Linked DNA regions of Mus musculus: regions 2, 3, 4 and 5 are each reported to be linked to region 1. Evidence: microRNA targets listed by miRTarBase, many of them from high-throughput screens and not tested one by one. Region 1 holds a microRNA gene; each other region holds the end of a gene's coding sequence.
The links. The annotated mature microRNA mmu-miR-146a-5p reads UGAGAACUGAAUUCCAUGGGUU and lies in region 1 at 2,304-2,325, shown strand. An mRNA with a match to its seed (bases 2 to 7 or 8) in the 3' UTR can be bound and repressed. Matches are read on the target gene's strand: a 7mer-m8 pairs with bases 2 to 8, a 7mer-A1 pairs with bases 2 to 7 and ends in A, and an 8mer does both.

Region 1 (4,151 bases):
GAATGAGGGTGTAGGAAAATGAATTTAAGAACCCAGGATAGCATTTACTCTGTCTCCTTTCTTGAAAAAAAATTTCTGGACTGTGTCTATGATCCAAGTGTGTTCTAGAAGCTGGAAATAATATTATGGAACCAACACCTACTCCCTACTCCGACATGAAAAAAGTTAAAAGTGAGCTTATAGGGTCAGAACCCCCCCTGGAAATATGAATCATATGATATATCTAGAATATAATTCTTATAATTTAATGATAAAAAGACAAACAGCCCAGTTTAGAAGTTGCAAAATATGTGAATTTTTTTTTTTTGTCTGAACAAAGTAGCTGTGCAAATGCAGTAAATAGATGAAAAGGTGCGCAACCTCATTAGCCACCAGGGAGAGGCAAATCAAAACCACAGTGAGGCACCGCTTTGTACCTGCTGGGAGAACTACAATCAAAAAGTCAGGCCATATAGCAAGGCTGTGGAGAAAGGAACCCCCAGACCCTGGCGGAGGAAATGTCAAATGGTGGAGCAGCTTTAGTGGAGAGTGTGAGAGTTCTCTAAAGAGACATGGATGTAATGGAACCCCACCATCTACTCTGAGTTACAGAGTCAAGAGAAATGACAGCATCTATCAGCACAGAGCTGGGAATGGCCCTAGAAGCATTTGTAGTTGAGATAGAGCAGAGGTGGGCTGGAGAGGGGGCTGTGTTTAAAAGCACAGACTGTTCTTGCAGAGGTGCCAAGTTTGCTCCCCAGAACCCATGTTGGTGGCTCACAACAACTTGTAAATCTAGCTCTAGGGGGACTCTGTAGCCTCCTTTGCCACCTGCATTCATGTACACACACACACACACACACACACACACACACACACACTTACACATACTTAAAATAAACAATAAAAAATAAATATTTAGGAAAAGTGGAAATAATATGTATTTACATGGCCTAGAGGTCGGGTATAGAAGTCAGGAGTAAATGTGATTAGCATGTAGTTTAGGGATGATTAAAACATTCTTAGATTAACTATGGTGGCTATCAAACAACTTCATGGTAATATTGAAAGCCATTGAGTTTTATCCTTTATGAGTAGGTAAATTGTATAGTCGTGAGTTCTATTTCAAAGAAACAGTTACAATTATTTAAAAAAAATTACTTGTTGTTGTAGGGGGGTCTTTTGTTCAGAGACTTACTCTATAATGCTAGTTGGTCTGGAACCCATAATGCTACCCAGGATGACCTTGAACTCACAGAAATCCTCCTGCCTTAACCTCAAGAGTGCTAGGGTTACAGGAATGCTCCATTTTGCCGAGCTGTTGTTTATATACTTTCAAAAAAAAGCACTAGCATGGGCTCTGCCCCTGTGAAAATATAGTCTTGTTTGGGAGATAGTATTTATCAACAATGACATCAAAGGCTCTATCAATTAGTTTATAACTATGAAGGGAAGGATTGAACATGACACAGGAGAATGGCAGGTATCACTGGGGAACGGAGACGAGGTATTAGTGAGGCTATTACACTCAATGATTCTAACAGATGCCTAAATAGCAGTGGCTTGAAAAGGGGAAGGTCCTGCTCTTGCTGACGTGAAGAAATACAGTTTCAAAGATCATCTAGTGCCATGCCCTGCCCTATCATGGGTGGTGCATGGCCCACATTGCATGGTGTGGGTGCAGCTGTACTGTGCGCTCTGTCTCCATGTAGAACTGGGTCACTCTAGGAAATGGGGCCTTTGTGCCAGGAGTGTGTGTACACGGTGTGTGGGGGGGAGGGGTGGTGGGTTCGGTGAACACAGAAGAGACACAGGGTGACAATCCAGTCATCTCTGCTATTGATGGTCTTGCTGAGGAGGTGATTCAGTAGGTGAGAGCCTCAGGAGGAATAGGCGTTGAGGGCAGTTTTCCAGGCCAGGGGCACATGTATGAGGGCACAGTGGGGACGGAAAGACCATCTGTCATGTTCCTGATTGCTTTTGAGAAAATCTTGCTACGTACTTCAGGCTGCCCTTGGACCAGCAGTCCTCTTGATGCACCTTCTTCTTCGCTGGGATTATGGGGTGGCCTCAAACTGACATTTCTCCTGCTGCAGGCTCATGAATGTTGAGATTACAGGCTTGCACCACATGCCCAGCATGTTTAATGATTGCTTATGAACTTGCCTATCTTGTGTCCCAGATCCTTATGCATCAAGAGTGTCCAGTCTGCAGAGGCCGTGCTTTTGGATTTATCAGAGATTTCTCTTGTGTTTTTACAGGGCTGGCAGGATCTGGCCTGGGAGGAAGGCCTCATCTGGAGAGTCTGTGTGTATCCCCAGCTCTGAGAACTGAATTCCATGGGTTATATCAATGTCAGACCTGTGAAATTCAGTTCTTCAGCTGGGATAGCTCTGTCATCACGGACCTGAAGAACACTGGTTGGAACAAACTCTGAAGGCCTTCATAGTCTGCCAAGGAACTTGAAGAGTGGAGAGAGTGGGGTGAAGCGTGGAACTGCTGGCACCGGAGGGAGTCATGTTGGATTGATGTGTGTTCTAATTTCATTTCTGTTGCTCTGATAAAATATCTTGACAAAAACAATTTAGGGGAGAAAGGGTTTATTAGATTATAATTCCAGGTCACAGCTGATCATTATAGGGAAGACAAAGTAGGAACTTGAAGCAGCTCGTCTCATACATCGTCAAGAAGAAAAAGAGAGCCAAACATTGTGGCACATACCTTCACTCCAAGAAATTTGGAAGCAGAGGCAGGTGGCTCTCTGGTAGGCCAGCCTGATGTACAGAGCAAGTTCCAGGCTAGCCAGAGCTATATAGTGAGATTGTGTCTCAACAAAGAGGAAAAAAATAGAGAAAAAATATATATGCTTACTTGTACTTGACCCCCTCTCTACACTTAAAGAGTCTAGGATCACCTGCCTAGGGAATGATGCTGCCTACAGTGGGCTTGGATCTTCCTATGCCAATTAATATAATCAATATATCCATCCACAGATATACATAGGTCAACCTGATCGAGATGATCCCTCACTAACACTCTTTCTAAATGATCCAAGATTGTGTCAGGTTGACAGTGCTAAGCAATATAGTATGGCAATTCCTCCTCCGGTTGGGAAAAGCGAAGCATCCTATAAATAGCCTCACTGAGTGGTTCTTGCTGCTGTGACTCTTGTTTACATTTCCATGATTTAGGATGAGTCAGGTATGAAGGGGACTAAGTGCTATGCATGCTGTTATAGGAGACTCATGGGAAACACCACTTTAATGAAGCTTGAGAGACACAGGATTGCCAAGCAGTGATTTCCCAGTCTCTTTATGGGACCAGATGGAATTAATTGTATGTGGCAATTATCCTTTAGCATGGTCTGCTGAGGTGTTTGGCTGCTTTTTCAGATATGTAGCAAAAAAGGATAAAGAACACATCCTTCTTATAGCCCCTCATCCCTTTTATTTGAACCTGTGCTTTCTTGCCTACTTTAAGCAAACAAGGGGTAGAGTGTTCTTTTGTACCTCCAAACAAGACAAAAGAAGTTGTAATTACACTCCACTGTAACTGACAGTTTCTTCCAGGGATGAGGATTAAGAAGCCTTAGAAAGTCTATTTGGACATATAGTCTATTAAATGATGGGGCTCAGGTCCTTGTAGAGAGGCAATAAAGACCTCTGTCACCAAGCATGTTGGGTCTCTTCTGAGAGTTGGGCTTGATTTGCTGCTGCTGATTATCTGGACTTTATTAAGCTTTTGAATTAGTGGGGAATTAGGAATGTGCCCTGTGCTTTGGGAACTCCTCTTTGACTCATCACTACGTCTTGGTGTCCTGGGATTTCCTTCTTACTCTTGTCTCTGAATGAAAAGAGAGGGAGGTAGCATGAGATGGGGGACTGTACAGCACCCACATGCTCAGTCTTTCAACTGAGGAACGTAGGTGTTTACTGTGCATCGACTCCTAAATCCAGGGCTTTGCCTATACGATCTCAGTGAATCTTACCAAGCCTCATCTCCATAATATAGACACATCAACAAAAGGATTTTTTCCCCTGTTATTATGATAAAATGGCCTGGCAAAAATAATGGTTGATTTTGGCTCACAGTTCAAGGGTATTGTTCATCATGGAGGAAGTCATAGCATGAGAAGCTTGAGAGCTGCTGGCCACATGACCTCGGCAGACAAG
Region 2 (4,000 bases), not on the chromosome of region 1:
GGAAAGAATCAGAGGAAGTCTATGAGGATAGGATGTGTTGGGGGAACTTCTGTTCTTGACCCAGCCCTTGCTCCCCTCGGTAGCCTCTGTCTTGTCCCTATTCCTTCCAGGAAAAGCCTGGGTGAGGATTCACATCACACACAGCTGCCATTTTACTGAGGTCATTCAACTGAGCTTCTGCACAACACAGGGCAGCAGCCGCTCTGCTCTGTGCTCTCAGTTACCTTAGTGCACATGTCTAACAAATTCCGATGCCCACACTTAGAGAAAGTCTGTTCTTAATGTCCTCTCCACTCCAAGAAAGCATCAAGTCCTTGGGCCGTAAGACTGTACTGTTCATGACACTCGGCCCCTACAAATGTTCAAGTCACCCTCGGCATGGGTGTTCGTCATGTGAGTTGGGCATGGAATCTGATTTTAGATCTCAGTAAACATAGACCATGCTTGGGATGTCGGAAATACTTTTGATAGGATACCCTCCATTGAGTTTTACAGGATAAACCATATGGAAGCATACTTATTTCTACCTTGCTTTTCCCAGATGCGCTTTCTGAACTGTACCGGTGGCCGGAAGGACCCTTCCAAGTCTATTCTGGATGTTGGCGTGGAAGAAGCAATAAAGTTCAGTGGATTTGATGAGAAGATGTTTCTGAAGCGTGGCGGAAAGTATGTGTGGAGTAAAGCTGACCTGAAGCTGGACTGGTGAGGCTGAGATGGGAAGGAAACTCCGACCAGCTACAGGGACATTCACGCCCAGCTATCCTTCAACAAGCTACATCTTCTGGCTATCTACGGACTGTTGTTATTAGAATACAGTCTGTTTATTTTTCTTTCAGTTTGACTGAACTAAAAAGGGAGTAAAATTATGCAGCAGATAATCGTCCTCCACAGGAGAGAGTTCGGTTCTCAGAGGAGCAAGGTCCAGTGACCCCTAAGAACCAGCATTTCATTTATATTTGAATTTTTGTGTGGATTTTACTGTGAATCCCACATTTCCTTTTTCCTTTTTGTTCCCCTTGAGAAACTGGGTTATTTTTTGCTAACTATGCCAATTTTGTCAACAGGAAACTTCACAAAACACACCCTCCAATTACTGCTGACTATTCTAATGCTTTTCTGCTTTGGAATATTGGACTTTTTACTCAAAAGTGTAGAATCAAGGCATATCTCATAGAGCCTTAAGTTAGAATCTTACTCTTATGGAAGGAGTTATTTCCTAGAACAGGCTGTTTGTTCATGGTCCCAGCCTCTGATGCTGCTGCTTCAAGATGGCTGCTTTATACTGCAGCAATTCCTTCAGGGTTCTTGACAAAGCCAAGGTACACTTTACCTCCCAGGGTGTGGCCATGAGGATGCCACTTCTGCAGCTGCAACTGCCCTGGCATTGAGGCTGCTTGAGTCTCTCATGCTGAAAGGTTGTCACACTTTTCTGAAAAGCTCCAAGGCCATGTGGCACGTCCAGAAGAGTCGTGGGGGGATAGACAGGAAGGAGTCTTTCAGGAATATAAAATGTGGCAGCTGGCTTGGTATAAATGTGCCTGTGGTTCCTTAGCATATCTTTCAAGAAACACTGAAACTTGACCTAGTCTAGGTCAACATGAGAAAAACAAAAAAACAAAACAAAACAAAACAAAAAAAAAAAAACAAAAATAACAAAAACAAAACCAAAAACAGTTCCTTCTTTACACCAAAAAGGCAAAAGACAGAATGTGAACTAGCCAAAATCTTCCTGTGGAAGCATTGCATGAGGTTATTAAGCCTAGACAGTGCCTCACTGCTTGGAAAATAATTTCCTATCAAAGAGTAAAGCCATGGAAAATTTTGTTCTGTCCAAGAAACTGAACTCCCCTGTAGTTCCACTGTGGCCGCTAGAGGGCCCCGGGAAGTCAGACCTCATTAAGTATCTCAGAAACTTTGCTTCTGAGTCTATTTTTAGGACTTGGTGGATTTTGGTTCTGTTCCTTCTTTGTTTTATTTGCTTTTGTTTGGGGTTTTTTTTGGTGCTTATATTAATACTAAAATTTTTCTAAGGAACTGGAATTTGGGGTATTTACTCACAAAAGATGTTCATACTTTAGTTAGGTCATTATAATTCAACTGAGACACACTTTGTCTCATGAAAAATATAGGTCAGGGTTTTCTGTGTTTTCTAGTGTGTGTGTGTGTGTGTGTGTGTGTGTTTTACCTATTTTTGCTTGAGTATAAATATAACTATGTAGCCCAGGCTGGCCTGGAACTCATGATACCTCTGCCCTAACCTCACCCTCTCAAGTGCTAGGGATTGCACGTGTGTATTAACCAACTCCTATGTAGATTTTTCTATGTGAAATTTGAGTCACATTCCCCCTGAAGATTGTGATTTTTTTTTTTAGTTAAGTCCTGTGTGCTTAGTTCACCTGGGAAATCCCAGAGGACATGGCCAGACACCCACTTGATCAAATGAGAGGAAAGCAATCATGAAGCTGAGGTCCAACCTTCTGAATTGCAGTATATTTTCTCCTGGCTGAGGGAAGCTGCATGTCTCTTTCCCTGATTAAAGTAGAACATGATGAGAATCTGCTTGGGAAATGAGCCACCATTCTAAATGTACCCCCCCACCCCCCGCCTTGTGCATGCACAGGAGGTGTGTGAGATCTCTGTGCTTAAAATATTCAAAAATCTCCCTTTCCTAAAGGAAAGAATTACAATATTTTATTATCACAGTAAAGATCAAACTTGGATTAGATCATTCATTGGTTACATTTTCAGTGTTAAATCTGGGTGCTCATTTTGTGAAGCAGATGCTCTCTGCTGGGAGAATAGGGGATGATCTAGTGGACATTTGTTAAGTGTTACAGGCTGATGCCTTGTGTCCCATGACTGATTGATGCAGAGTAGTAATGCTGTGAAGGGGGTTTTACTCAAGAACTTCAGAGGCTAGGACATCTCACACTGATTTTACAGCCTTTGGTGTCTCTGTTATAATGTGTTCAATGATAAAATCATGGGCTGTGTTTTTGTAAGAGGGACGCTTCATGGTGTTATTTGAAAAAAAAAAAAAAGGTCCCAGGTTTCGATCTGTTTGGAGTTTGGAGTCTAATGGTTGCATAGATAAACAGGCGACCAATCACACCCAGCAGCAGTTAGCTCCTTACCGCAGTAACTCAGCTCATGGACTGCCCTCTTGATGGATTGATGTTGTTTCATAAGCTATTATTAGACAAAGAACCATCACGCAGGCCTCATGTGAGTATGTCCAGATGAGGTCTAATGCTCAGGGATATATGTATATGTATCTCTCTGTGGAATTACACTGTGTTCTGAGGCATCGCTCTAATGTATGGTAACATGATCTGTGAATTAAAATGTTCTATACGTGGCCTAAGACTCTGTGTTAGTATCTCTTTGATGTGTTATAATCACTGCACTTTTACATGGTGAGTTTGCTAGACGTGAGTTCACTTTATAACTCAGCCAAGTTATGGATACTGTCAGCTCCTGACATTCCACTCTGCAGCAGGGCTGCATGGAGCTGAGCCGCTGGAGAAAATGTTCCAGCCTAACATTAAAGGCACTGTTTGGGAGCCCGGCCATCAAAACCCTATCAGTCTCAGAAGGGCAGTTGTGCAGCTGGCCAGAAAAGGTTGTCCCAAAGCCCTTTCTGTGGCCACCAATGTGAAGGGTGATACTGTTTGGTAATACTTTGTAGTACTTGATAGTACTTGGTAATACTTGGTCAGCAGTTCAGGACCCAGAACCAAATCTGCTCTTCTAGGCCCAGTCCCCATGAAATGGCAGAGTCCTGAGATATCCACAGTCCAGCTTACAATTGTCAAGTAAAGCCCGATATATAGTCACCTTTGCAGCAGTAGTTCACACAGAAGGGCAGGTTTCCAGCACCGGATCTGAACTGAATATTTTAGAAGACTCAGTGGTGGTCATGAAGCTCTGCTGATTGGCAATGGTGGCCGTCCAATTCTGCTGAATGCCATCTTCTCCCGGGCACTTCCCCCACTTCAAC
Region 3 (4,000 bases), not on the chromosome of region 1:
CTTGGTTTCCTTTAAAGGTTTCAATATGTTACAAGGTTATCCATAAAGCAAGAGGGGGAGGGGCAGGGAGGGAAAAGAAAAAGGCAAAGGACCAGATAATGTATCAGTCTACAGTCCTGGCCAGATTCTGGTCTACATTTCCAGAAAGCAGGAGGCCTTCTATTAATTGCACATCACACAGGGATTCTTTAGTTCCTGTTCTCTGCAGACCCTTGCTTTCTTCCCATAAAGACTGGGACACAGAGATGTCCCACAAGACCCCTCTTCAGTCAAACCGAATAGAGAGGTGCAATAGTTATAGTGGCAAGCACAAAAATACAAACATGCATGCACACATGCATATCACACACATGTACATGCATGTGTATATAAGCTGAAAAGCTGCTCCTGGGTGAGAGGGTGAGCCTTTTTGATTCATCTCTGGGATGTTACAATAGCAACACACTCTCAAACAATTAAGTCGCATGCATAATGCCAAAAGAATGTGAGCAATCCTGTGACCAGCTTTAAGCCATCTGCTTGATTCTCTCTCTCTTTTTGAAGGAACATATATAGGAGAAGAGAATTCCACTTTTGTTCCAATACATATAGAGCTCTATTGAGGTTTCCCAACAGTTTGGGTTTGGTTTAAAAAAAAAAAAAAAGTCTGTTCTTCTGTTATTTGAACACATAACTGCCCTAAGCTGTCTCTTGTGGCTTCAACTAAAAATATTTCTCTACATGAATTAGCTGAAGGACAACTGAAACCTCTTACCAATATACAAGTAACATTTTATTTTATATTCTATCTTCCATTGGCATAAGCCTTTCAATGTTCTTTTTTTTAACCAGTGAAATATACAAATCACACAAGACAGAAATATGTACATTAAAAGTACAGAATAAAGGCCATAGGGGATATACAAAATATCTGAAGGATGCGTAGAATATCTTACATTAAATAGGTTTTTTTTAAAGCTAGGATTGTTAAACTCCACTCTGCTCATAAACATGAATCACTAAAAACAAAAACAAAAAAAGAACATAATCTGATTTAACAAATAAGAGAGAGAGAGAGAGAGAGAGAGAACTTCATGGTTTTTGTAGAATAAAAACCAAAAAGTGACATTTTAAACTAAATTAGTGCTTTTTTTCAACATCTTTTGCTTGCAATTCATTGTAGCTGAGGGGAAATGAATATTGTTGGGCAATAAGTTAAGAGCCACAGGACTGAGGTGACCAGAAGGCTACCAAGCCCATGAATGGATACACACATTTTTTTTCAAACCTTGTAAGAGTATCAGGCCTCGAAAACAACACAGCAGATGTCACTTTTGAAACAGAGGTGCCCTTATTTTAAAACATTGTTTAAACTAGCTATCTATGTGGTGAGCTGGTTTGCTTCGGGAACTCAGATCCGTCCTGTCAGACAGGACAGTCCCAAGTCCTCCCTGGGAAAGGAGTGAAGCAAACAGACAGGAGGCTGGTGATCCTGGGTTCTGGGAGCCTCTCGAAGTCCAGGGCTGCGACAAACCACAGTGCCCTCCCCACAAAGAACACCAAAGAGAGGGTGGAGAACTGGCCATGGGCAGGAAGCAGAAAGGCTACTTTCTAACCAACATACATTCAGGACATGAGCCCTGAGAGCTTCCTCCGAGTCTTAGCTTGCTTCCTGGTATTCGTGGTAGGATCCTGTCACAGGTCAATGTTAAGACTCAAAATTTTTGGAAAAAAAGAAATCCCAATTGGACTGCAATGAAGGACGATACTCCAGGCAGAGAGCAAGCCCAGAGAAAACTGTAGGTCTAAATCCCAGACTGCACTGAGATATAATTATATCTATATTTATATATGTATATTTATATATATGTTATATACAAAAAAACTGAGATATCAGGCACCATTAAACCACATCCCCCCTTATAAATGCAACTGTTCAAGTACACTAGGAACAGTTTTAGGGTACACCTGCAGGGTAATAGGAAAAGCACAAATGGAAAGTCTAAACGCAGGAGGATAACAACCAAACAGCTGCAACACCTCTGTGGACTCCCTGGGCCAAGAGATATCATCAAAACACATCAAGTTACCGTACCTCCAAAGAAAAGCCTCAGAGAACAACCCCTAAGTGGCTGGTTCTGAACATGGCTCCTCGTGTACATTTTCTGCCCTACCAGCAGTGAGTGTCCACCAGGGCTGCCATTCGGAAGCATGGCCAGCAGAGAGTCCAGAAAGGGCATGGGATCATGCAGGAAGATGGCTGCCATCATCTCCTCACAGAGGTGTTCGCAGTGCTCAACTACATGGGACTTTCTTGTTGCCTGTGGGGGTGAGGGGTTGCAAATGGGATTCATGGGTAATTTTTCATTTTTAAGAAAATAAGATGGCTTTCAAAACAAGATTTTTTTTTTTTAGTCAAAAATTCCTTTATGGATCTAAAAGTCTGGTATTAAGAATCAGCTGGGCTAACACAAGATTATGGCCTCAATGTAGGAAACTTCAAGTTTTCTAATTTCTGGGGACCTCCCTCCCCCAGCCCACCGGCTCCCCAATATTCATGAACTGTTAGAAAAAGGCCCATTCATGAATGGAGTATCTGTAGGTGGGACACAGTAACATACATGATATGCCTGCTTCTGAAGATATGAGATTCTTGCTTGTACCTTCTAAAAGATCATTCTAGAAATACACACACACACACACCAAAAATACAAACAAACAAACAAACAAACAAAACCCAAAAAAAGAAAAAACAAAACAAAACAAAAAACCCACAAAACCAGGCTGGTAACCTCTGGGTTAGGGAGTGTCTCATATTCTGTATTTTTGGCATATATGTATATTTAATATATCTATATTTAAGATCTTTTGTACCAGAGCACCTGCAATTCATTTTGGTCACAGGAACTGTTATTCATGGGTCTGTACCTCCTCCTTCACCTGGATACCACCCATCTCAAAGGACTCTCTGTTTGAGAAGAAAATGGCTCCTACACCTTCTAGATGTGAACCCCCAACTGCACAGCTAAGTTCGAATACATAGTTTTTCCCCTTTATCCTGTAGCATCAGAAGAAAGAAATTTTGTACTAACTTTGCAAAGATCCTCAAAATAAATATTTTTCTTAGTTTCCCCCACTATTGCCAAATATTAATTATAATATTAATAATAAACCACAGAGTTCTTAGATGGTAACAGAAAAGAAAAAACAAAATAAAACAAAACAAAACACATGGTTCCAGCTGCAATTCTTGGGGGAGAAATAAAAAGAACCAGAAGCACTGTACTTTCTATAAATAAGTGGGTCCTGGGAGTGGGACTGGGTGAAGGGCAGGCACACCACTATTTGCACACGAACTGATCCACAATCTCCGTGCACTTCTTGCATTTGACATAGCAGCACCAGTGAAACTTGCAATGACAGCGTTCGGTCTGCACTGTCTTAAACTGGTCATAGCCACGCCCACAGCACATGAGCTCGCAGCCGTCCATCCCCTCTGAGGTCTTGTTGCACAGGCGTCCCTGCGTGCCCAGCGAGCCAGTGCTCTCGTTGCGCACACAGTAGTCCGGACTGGGGTCGATGTAGACCAGGTCCTGCGTGGTCGGGGAGTTGAAGCGGCTGTTGACCTGCACCAGCTTGCCCCGGCTGTTGAGCCTCATGGCCGCCGCGCTATCATACTTCTCCTTGAGGGCATCGCCCACCTTCCGGAAGTCCGCCAGCTGCAGCCAGCACGTCTTGAGGCTACAGGAGCCAGACACTCCATGACACTTACAGGCTACATCTGCCAGGTTGTATACTGTCTGTAGGAAGAAAGGGGGAAGGTTATTGTACTGATCCCTGGAGGAGGCGAGATGCAGGCATGGGCCTAGTACACACTTTGTAGAGGCAGCCATGTCCCTTGGCTGAATTCAAGGCTGTGTTACATCTTCATTTCCCACCACTAGAAATATTGTATTGCCTTCTTTGAAACTCTGCAACTTCTTAGTCTTTATCATTCTGTCCACCACTATCACATTCAGAT
Region 4 (4,000 bases), not on the chromosome of region 1:
CATGGAAAATGGTGTTTGGGCGAGGGGTCGGTCACTGTGTCCAGTCCCATCACAAGACTGAGAAAGCATGCATGGGGTTCGGGGTTTGGAAAAAGAGGACAGAATTGGTTAAAATTGAAATGGAGGATTATCGCTAAGATTTAGTCTCTGTAGAATTTTGTTTACAAATACTACTAAAAAGGTCATGATCAGGAGTGCTAGCTCAATAGAATTCCATCATTTAAACAGGGTGGAAATGCCTTCCACTCAAATATTCAATCTATACAATTGGATTAAGAATCGTATGCACAAATCTTCTAGAAGTCTGTGTCGGTTTTTAGCTTTCACCACAAATGTACACGGTCCCATTGTGGTGGCTACCTCTAAACTAATTGTGTATGTATGGAACTAGCAAGATCAGATTAGCCACACAGGTAGGAGAGGTGCCTGGGAGGTCAGGAGCCCCTTGTAAAGCAAATGTACTTCACCCTGGTGTCCTCGGCTCGGCTCCGTGGCCATCACTGAGGACAGGGGTGCAGGAGGGTGCCTGCCAGATTGTGTAGGAATCAGAGCCAATGGATCAGTGACAGTTTTGTGAAGCATTTTTCCCCATTAGATTCTGTAGAAACAATAAGAGGTATGGGGGTCGAGTGGTTATAACTGAAGGCTGGCTATGGCTCTTCTAAGGTATTTATATATATATATTAAAACAAAATAATATAAAGGCTAAATAAATTTAAGTTGGAAAACTGGAAGATAACTCCATCTTCTATGAAAGAAAAGTCAACCAGAGGTCTGGATTTGGCAAGAAGGCTAGAAATTGTTTCTCTTCACGTGTGGACCAGCCTAACAGCTCCCATTAAATTACTATCTTGTGTGTATTGAGCTTGTCTGATGAAGTGAGAAGCAAGTGGGCTTACAGGCAACGAACTCTGTTTTCATCAGGATGACTTTTCCATCAGATAGGACAGTTTTGTACCTTTAACGTGTCACTGTTACGGGTTTTGAAAGAAACAGGATAATAAATAAAAAAGCTGCATTCCTAGAGACACCTAACAAAAATAGAATATTAATTTTCTTTAAAAAATTAAACATTTGGAAAATGTGATTCACAGCATTAAGTAGACTGCATGGGTTCTCAGTGAGGAAACCCCTGGAGAAATATTGTTTAAACCCTCAGAGTAAAAGAGCAGTGCGAAACATACGCTTTACAGACGAAAATAAACTAAAATGTAAATTTTGAAATAAATAACTAACATAGAAAATAAAATGAGGTCATTGTTCACTACCCCGTAGATCTTAAGAGTCTGCAGGAAACGTAGCATGACCGAGCACAGCTGCCACTGAGAAGTTTGCCACCTCTGAACCCTGGGACGTGAATCTGCCACTTGAAACTTGGCGACAGTTTTCCTCGCGATCTGGCGGCGCAAGTCTGTGGTTCAGTGATGACATCGACAGACATTATGTCTGAACTCTCTACATGGTCAACATAGAAGTTGAGAATTCATTTGTTTTCAATCTATTACTTCTCTCACTGAATGTTTTCCAGGAAAAACAAAAACAAAAAACCAACCCAAGCAAACTGGGTGCTAGGGTACTTCTGAACTTGGCTCTTTTACCTCATGGTGAATAATCTTGAAAGGAGGAGGGGATAGCACTGGGTGATGCCCCGGACAGTAGCCTACCCCGCCACCTACCCACTCTCAAACAGCACGGACTCAACTTTCACGGTATGAGAGTCAAAGGGCAGGAGGTACCACCGTTTCTGGTAGTGACAGGTTTTTAAAAATAAATATCATGACTTCAATATCAGACTTCAAATCTTGCCAGAACCTTAAAAAAACTTCAATTTTTGTCTTACAAAAAACACTTAAAATAATAATTAAAAAGAAAGACCATCGTTTCAAAATTTTCTTTGCGTTTTCCTGTAAATGAAAACATTTGTTAAAAAGTTCATCTATGAAAAGTTCTCGAGTAGCTAAAAAAAAAAAAAAAAAAAAAAAAAATCTTCTGTACATGTGTTCCCATGTGTTGAAATTAATGGAAAATTAAAATAGCCAATGCAAGACAAAGGAAGGCAGATGCTGTACACTTGCTGAGAGCTCTTCCACCATAAGATTCACTGTTTTCCTGGTTCTGATCAAAGAAGCCATTCCGGTCTTGAACTTGAAGAATTAAAGAAGCTACGAAAGGTGCAACGGATTTGGTTGAGTGGCCACGGGTACATCAGAAGTGGTGATGTTCACCAAGCATGACTCTGCACTAAACCGTTGGGCCAATCAGATGAGCTTCTGGTACCTTCCCTCCCCACACGCTCCTTTCCCTGGAGTATCTACAATCCTACATGGATGGTTTAAAAACTTGCTGTCTCACATTAAAAAATAAGTGCATCAGGTGTCTTTGTACATTCAAGTCACTTCCTAAGGCAAAATGTCTCCCATGTGTACTCCCACCTGCTTTGGTATTTGCTTCAGTTAACCGGGGTGGACTTGGGTGTTGCTGCATGCAGCTTGACTTGGTGTGGACTTGGGTAGACAAATGCTGGGAGCATGCCTTAGATCAACCTACTCACGTGTTCGAAAAGTCTGAGAGTTCTGAATGGGGCGCAAACCACTCACTCATCCAGTCTACACTTGCTACATTATGCCGTGTGCAGCCTTTATAATAGCAAAGGCATTGAATTAAGGCGTGAAAAAGCTCATGCCCTCGTAACAGGCTTCATTCTTTTTGTTCTTTAGAAACACGCTTTAGGAGAATAAGACTCTTTCTGATGACTCTGATGAAAATGGGAAACTCCACCTGTGTAGACCACAGAATAGCTGTGGTCTGAGAAAATGCAGACCTGGTTGCTGGTGTCTTCTCTATACCCCATCTTGCCCACTCTCTCTCCCTGGGCATCTCATCAGAACTCTCTACCTTTGTCTCTTGCATTCTTTTTCTTTCTGATTCTTCCCCTCTCACTCTCTCTCTCTCTCCTGCAGTCTCTTTGTCCCTCTCTCCCGCCTCTCTCCCTCCCCTCCCGCTGACTCTCTTTCCCTCTCTTTCTCTCTCTATGATAAATGCCAATACCTAGCAGAAGTCAGTTGGGTGCGTGAGTGCATGGCTTCCGAATGTTCAGCAGAGATGAACGGGGGTAGGCAATTTTGCAGTAACTCGAAATCTATTGTGGGAATATGGTTACTTCCCTTAGCAGTCAGCAAAAATTGAGAACTATCAGTGACTTGCATCACCATGACATAGTATAGCATCTGGCAGGTAATAACTGTTCAGTGACTTAATTGGATGAATGGACGTTTTAGAAAAGGTAGTTTCAAATTCAAGAATTTCTGGAAACACAGTTCAAATCCTGTGGTGTGGCCGGCTGCGGTCTCTACAGTTCTATCTTGCATGCGGGGAAGGACTCGTCTTGCATGACCACTGTACTGCTGCTTGCTAAGACCATGATGTTGAGGTCCTGCTGCTTCTCGTGGGTCTCCTGGTACCACTCCCTCATCACCTCGGAGTCATGTGTCGGAATCAGAGTCACCTACGGAGGGGGAGAAAAGGAGATATTTAAAGGACAGCAGGGATAGATGCCAGAGTAAAAACAGAACAAGGTGTCTGTTGGATCACTAGCAGAAAGGGATAAAAGGAAAAAAAATGCCGTTTTACCAGAAAAATACCAATGAAGTTTTCAACTGATGTTTTCCAAGAACCACAACCAAGCTGTAAAAATTAGAAGGTTTTTTTTTTTAATTTAAAAAAAATTTTTTGGGATGTCATTGAAGGGAAGAGTTCAAGCCTAGAATCTAAATTACCTAGGAACTTGCATGTAAATTTCAGATGGCTTTTTAACGAAGTGGTGTTGAGAACTGTTTGTTTCTCGTGTTTCCATTAACATGGGGCAGATGTTGTACAGCCTATATATTCCACACTTAGTGCACGAAGTTTAATATTGTAGCTCAAACCCCCAGAAGCCCACACATTGGCCTGAAAACAGAGTCTGTGCTGTAGGAGGGGAGTACCGACTTTGGTACTTCTC
Region 5 (4,000 bases), not on the chromosome of region 1:
CGTGCTCTACCATCACGCCACACATTTCCAGCACTTTTATCTGAAGTGTTTCCTTTTATTTGTGCATGTTGTGTTGGGCCCTGGCTTTGTTCTGCATTTTCCCATGGCACACTTCTTCCAAGTTCCAGCCCCTGGAAGAGAAGGGTGCTGAAGCCTTTCCTGCACACCGAGGGTCTTTCCCTCTATGCCTGTTAGTGTTTGTTGGCCTGGTTGAGTCCTGGCTGGACCTCTGGCTTGTAGATTGCTGCACTGCCAGCATTTGACAGAGGCTAGTACAGAAAAGGTATCAGTAGCCGTCCACACAACCCAAGCTGTCACAGACACTATGTCATTTGAAGCCTATCCCCTCCTTAAGCGACAACAAAGATGGATATTTGAATATTCTCAATTAAGGGTCAAGCAAGGCAAATGGGACTGAGAAGACTGAAGACAAAAGATGTGTCAAATACCTGGGCAAAAGGGGGTGGTGGTGCTCTCTTTCCAACTCCTGAAAGACACCTCTGCTCAGCACACTAGTTTCCAGGTTCCTGGGTTAGGATTTGGGTGAGATTGGTCGGCGATGGTTTGGTTCCTCCATTCTGCTGCTTCTCCCTGATACATTGAGTTACAGCAGCCCACGCGTACACACTCTCGCACATGCGTGCACACACGTGCACATGCACACACACATACACACATACACACACACACAAGCGTGCATGTGCACATGCGTGCATGCACACATACACACAGGCACACACGTGCAACACAGCATGTGCAGGCATGCACACACAGACACACACACAGACACACACACATTTGTGCCCTGGGACAGCCCAATGGCTTCATACTTTGGGAGCGCTGAGGGGCTGATAGCTCAGCTTGGGTTAGGACTGAGTAGGCTCTTCTGGATGATCATCACTGGAGACCCAGAACCTTTTAGACATCCAGACATCCAGTATCCCAGGTTGGATCCACTCATCAGAACTGACCCAGTGCTAGCTTTGCCAGTGGAGAGAAAGGCAAGGAAATGGCTTGAGCAGGCCCTGAATCTACTTCTCTACCCACTCACAGAGTCAAAAAACCAACAGGGGTCAGAGTTCACCCCTCCCCCCCCACCTCTTCCCCCCCCCCTTCCCCAGAGGTGATAGCCTGCAGCAAAGGATCCTGGGAAGAAGAAGAAACTCTCTGAGCTGATTGAGACTGGTTATGGCTCTTGGGAAGGCGGGGGTCCTCTGTAGCTTCTGTCAATGCCTTTCGGGTCCTCTCTGGTGGGAAGGGGCTATGATGAAGGTCAGGTATTGGAAAGGGTTAGTGTTCCCTGAGTCAGGGCTAAGGCTCTGGTTGGACAAGGAAGGGAGGAAGAAATGACTGGCGTCAGGTTGAGTACTCTGAGAAGGATTCCTTTCCTGCTGACTGGTGACTGCAAGCACAGAGGTAGCCTGCAGGTCATAAGGAATCCTCATTCTGGCTCTTTGTGGGTGTGGTTAGCTTACTGCTTTGATTGTGGACCAATCACTCTTGGGGTTCCTTTTTTATTGAGCTCTAAGCCTTACCCCTGTCTAGAAGCTAAGCTTTCTGCTCTTTTCTTCTTCCCTATGAGCATCTTTAAGTTTTCTAGTTCAAGTTTAGGGCCCACTGTTAACCCATGGCTTTTCTTTAATATCATTTCTTTATTATTATTTATATGAGCACACCATAGCTGTCTTCAGACACACCAGAAGAGTGCACCAGATCCCATTAACAGATGGTTGTGAGTCACCATGTGGTTGCTGGGAATTGAACTCAGGACTTCTAGAAGAGCAGCCAGTGCTCTTAACCTCTGAGCCATCTTTCCAGCTCTAACCCATGGCTTGTTCCTGGATGTCCCTTACCTGTAGGTTAGGGTTGGGTTGCTAATAAAGAATTTCCAGGAAGAGTGTAAGAGGTGGGCCTTCCACTGCTCAAAGCTCAGACTGCAGAAAAGGTTGATAGCCTCCCAGGGGCAATGACACCCTTTCTGCTTGAGCTTCCCCCCCCCCCTCTCAGGATGTAGTCATGGCTATCCTTTCCTTTCATTGCTGCTACCTCCCCAGCTCTTGCACTAGGAGAGCTGGACTGTTGGTGTGCTGAGTCCCCATCAGGTGACACACTTGTCCTCATCACTTAACCAGCTGCTGCCAGAACAGGAGGAAGAGCCCTGCAGGAGCTTTTGAGCAGGCTTTTCTCTCAGGAGACCTGGATCCCTAGTTGGTCTCATTTAGGGTCATCCAAGGGTCAGGATCTCAGGGTCCTTGCTCAGGCCCTGGAAAAGAGATCTTCAACAACTCTATCTCTTTTGTTTGGCTATGAGAAGAGAAGCAAGTCCATTGGAAGGGAAGAGGACGTTGGAAGCCATGCTGTGTTCTGGATTCAAGGACCAGAGTCGTTGATAAAAATAGATATTTTATTCCTCAGAGGAAGATACTACATTGGTGGGGGCGAGGAGCCACTAATAGCTACAGTGGAAGGAAATACTGATCCGGTGGGCAAGGGCGCCTATGAGAAGCTGGGTAAAAGAGAAAAAAGGTCGGATAACAAAAGGACTGGCGAGCAGAACAGAGGAGCAGTGAGGTGGGGTGAGGGTGGTCTCTGCAACCCAGGCTGGAACCCAGCACAATAAATAGTTTTATTTACATAACCGAACGCGTGGCTCTGCGGCCACATTTCGGTGCAAATTATTTACACAGTGATGAGGAGGCAGGACAGGAAGGGGTGGGAGGAGGCTGAGGGAGGCATGGTTCACAGCTGTTCAATGGCTCCGAGGCAGAGACAAGGAGAATGTAGGGTTTTGCTGCTGGGTCCAGCAACCTCCTTTCCCACTTAGCTTTCCGTGCCCTTTCAACTCGGAAACTCTTCAGCTACAGGTGGGAGGGGAAAGGCCTTGAAGCCCAGAGGTGCTGGTTAGAGAACTCAAGGGACCTATAGGGACCCGAGAGACAAGGAAAGGTGATAATACCCAAAGAGGTCACAGCGCAAAATACATCAGGAACCGCAACACCTTCAAGAGTTGACCTCCCCACCCCCACCCCAGAAGAAGAATCTTTCTCTCACCCTCTGGCCAAATTGGGGGGCAGTGCAAAAGGAGTCTCCCTCAAAGAGGGAGGGAGGTAGGCTGGGTCAGGGCCCTCAGGATGGCAAAAGGGTTCGAGCCGACTCAGGCAAGTGGTTTCAGGAGTCCCCAGGTAGGAGGTGGGAGAGATGGATCGCTATGAACCCTGGGACTGTGGCTGGACGCGGTAGGGTGGGCAAACATCAGGACCAGCGAGTGTGTCTGAGAACTGGAAGAGAGCGTTCCCGTTCCCGGAGGCGCGGCACCTCATAGACACTCGTGCAGAACGCGCGTGTGCGTGCAGTTGCGGCAGCTGACGTGGCAGCACCAGTGGAAGGTGCAGTTGCAGCGCTCCGTGACGCGCTGCGTGCGCGTGCGGTGGCCTCGGCCACAGCACAGCAGCTCACAGCCGTCCAGCGCGGGAGACGAGCTGTTGCAAGCTCGTCCAGCTGTGCCAGCTGTGCCCAGGCGGCCACTGTACGTGCAGAAGTTGGGCGATTTCTCGAAGTAGACGAGGTCGTGAGGGGAGGGAGGCTTGTGCGCGGGGTCTTCGGGCTCCAGGCGCAGCAGCTCCGCCCGCGAGGCGCGGTTGCTGCCTCGGTTGCCGTAAAGGACGCGGGAGGCGCCGTCGAAGCGGTCGCGCAGCACGTCGCCCACAGCGCGCAGCGTGGGCAGCCGCATCCAACACGTGCGCACCGTGCAGGAGCCGGACATCCCGTGGCATTTGCACTCTTGGCGCATCTCAGAGAACACGGTCTGGGGGAGGAGGGGACGAGGGGAGGAGGGAAGAAAAGGTCAAAGCCAACATCCCACGAACCACCACCCATACTTCCCCACCCCCACCCCACCCGGGTCACGTCGATGCTGTGGAAACTTCAGCCAAGGTCCAGGTGTGACTAAGCTCGGGAGAGAGGAAGTGCAAAATGGCCCGCTGAGATAGGGACATTCGGC

Region 2: miRTarBase lists Rsad2 as a target of mmu-miR-146a-5p. Seed matches in the 3' UTR shown: 7mer-A1 at 903-909.
Region 3: miRTarBase lists Wnt5a as a target of mmu-miR-146a-5p. Seed matches in the 3' UTR shown: 7mer-m8 at 1,553-1,559 and 7mer-m8 at 1,065-1,071.
Region 4: the mRNA of Map1b is a reported target of mmu-miR-146a-5p. Seed matches in the 3' UTR shown: 8mer at 3,184-3,191.
Region 5: miRTarBase lists Wnt1 as a target of mmu-miR-146a-5p. Seed matches in the 3' UTR shown: 8mer at 3,273-3,280 and 7mer-m8 at 2,905-2,911.

Annotation. Positions count from the first base shown.
Region 1 is chr11:43,372,609-43,376,759 of GRCm38, reverse strand. It overlaps Mir146 (microRNA 146), which reads left to right and starts at 2,299; the gene lies at 2,299-2,363.
Region 2 is chr12:26,442,112-26,446,111 of GRCm38, reverse strand. It overlaps Rsad2 (radical S-adenosyl methionine domain containing 2), which reads left to right. Exons shown (of 6, transcript NM_021384.4): 6 at 542-3,369. The coding sequence ends at 706. Among named protein-coding and RNA genes, the nearest start is that of Rsad2, 12 kb to the left of the region's middle.
Region 3 is chr14:28,522,261-28,526,260 of GRCm38, reverse strand. Wnt5a (wingless-type MMTV integration site family, member 5A) reads right to left here. Exons shown (of 5, transcript NM_009524.4): 5 at 1-3,779. The coding sequence ends at 3,321. Among named protein-coding and RNA genes, the nearest start is that of Wnt5a, 19 kb to the right of the region's middle.
Region 4 is chr13:99,422,457-99,426,456 of GRCm38, forward strand. It overlaps Map1b (microtubule-associated protein 1B), which reads right to left. Exons shown (of 7, transcript NM_008634.2): 7 at 1-3,505. The coding sequence ends at 3,350. Among named protein-coding and RNA genes, the nearest start is that of 6430562O15Rik, 12 kb to the left of the region's middle.
Region 5 is chr15:98,792,221-98,796,220 of GRCm38, reverse strand. It overlaps Wnt1 (wingless-type MMTV integration site family, member 1), which reads right to left. Exons shown (of 4, transcript NM_021279.4): 4 at 2,391-3,805. The coding sequence ends at 3,317. Among named protein-coding and RNA genes, the nearest start is that of Wnt1, 4.4 kb to the right of the region's middle.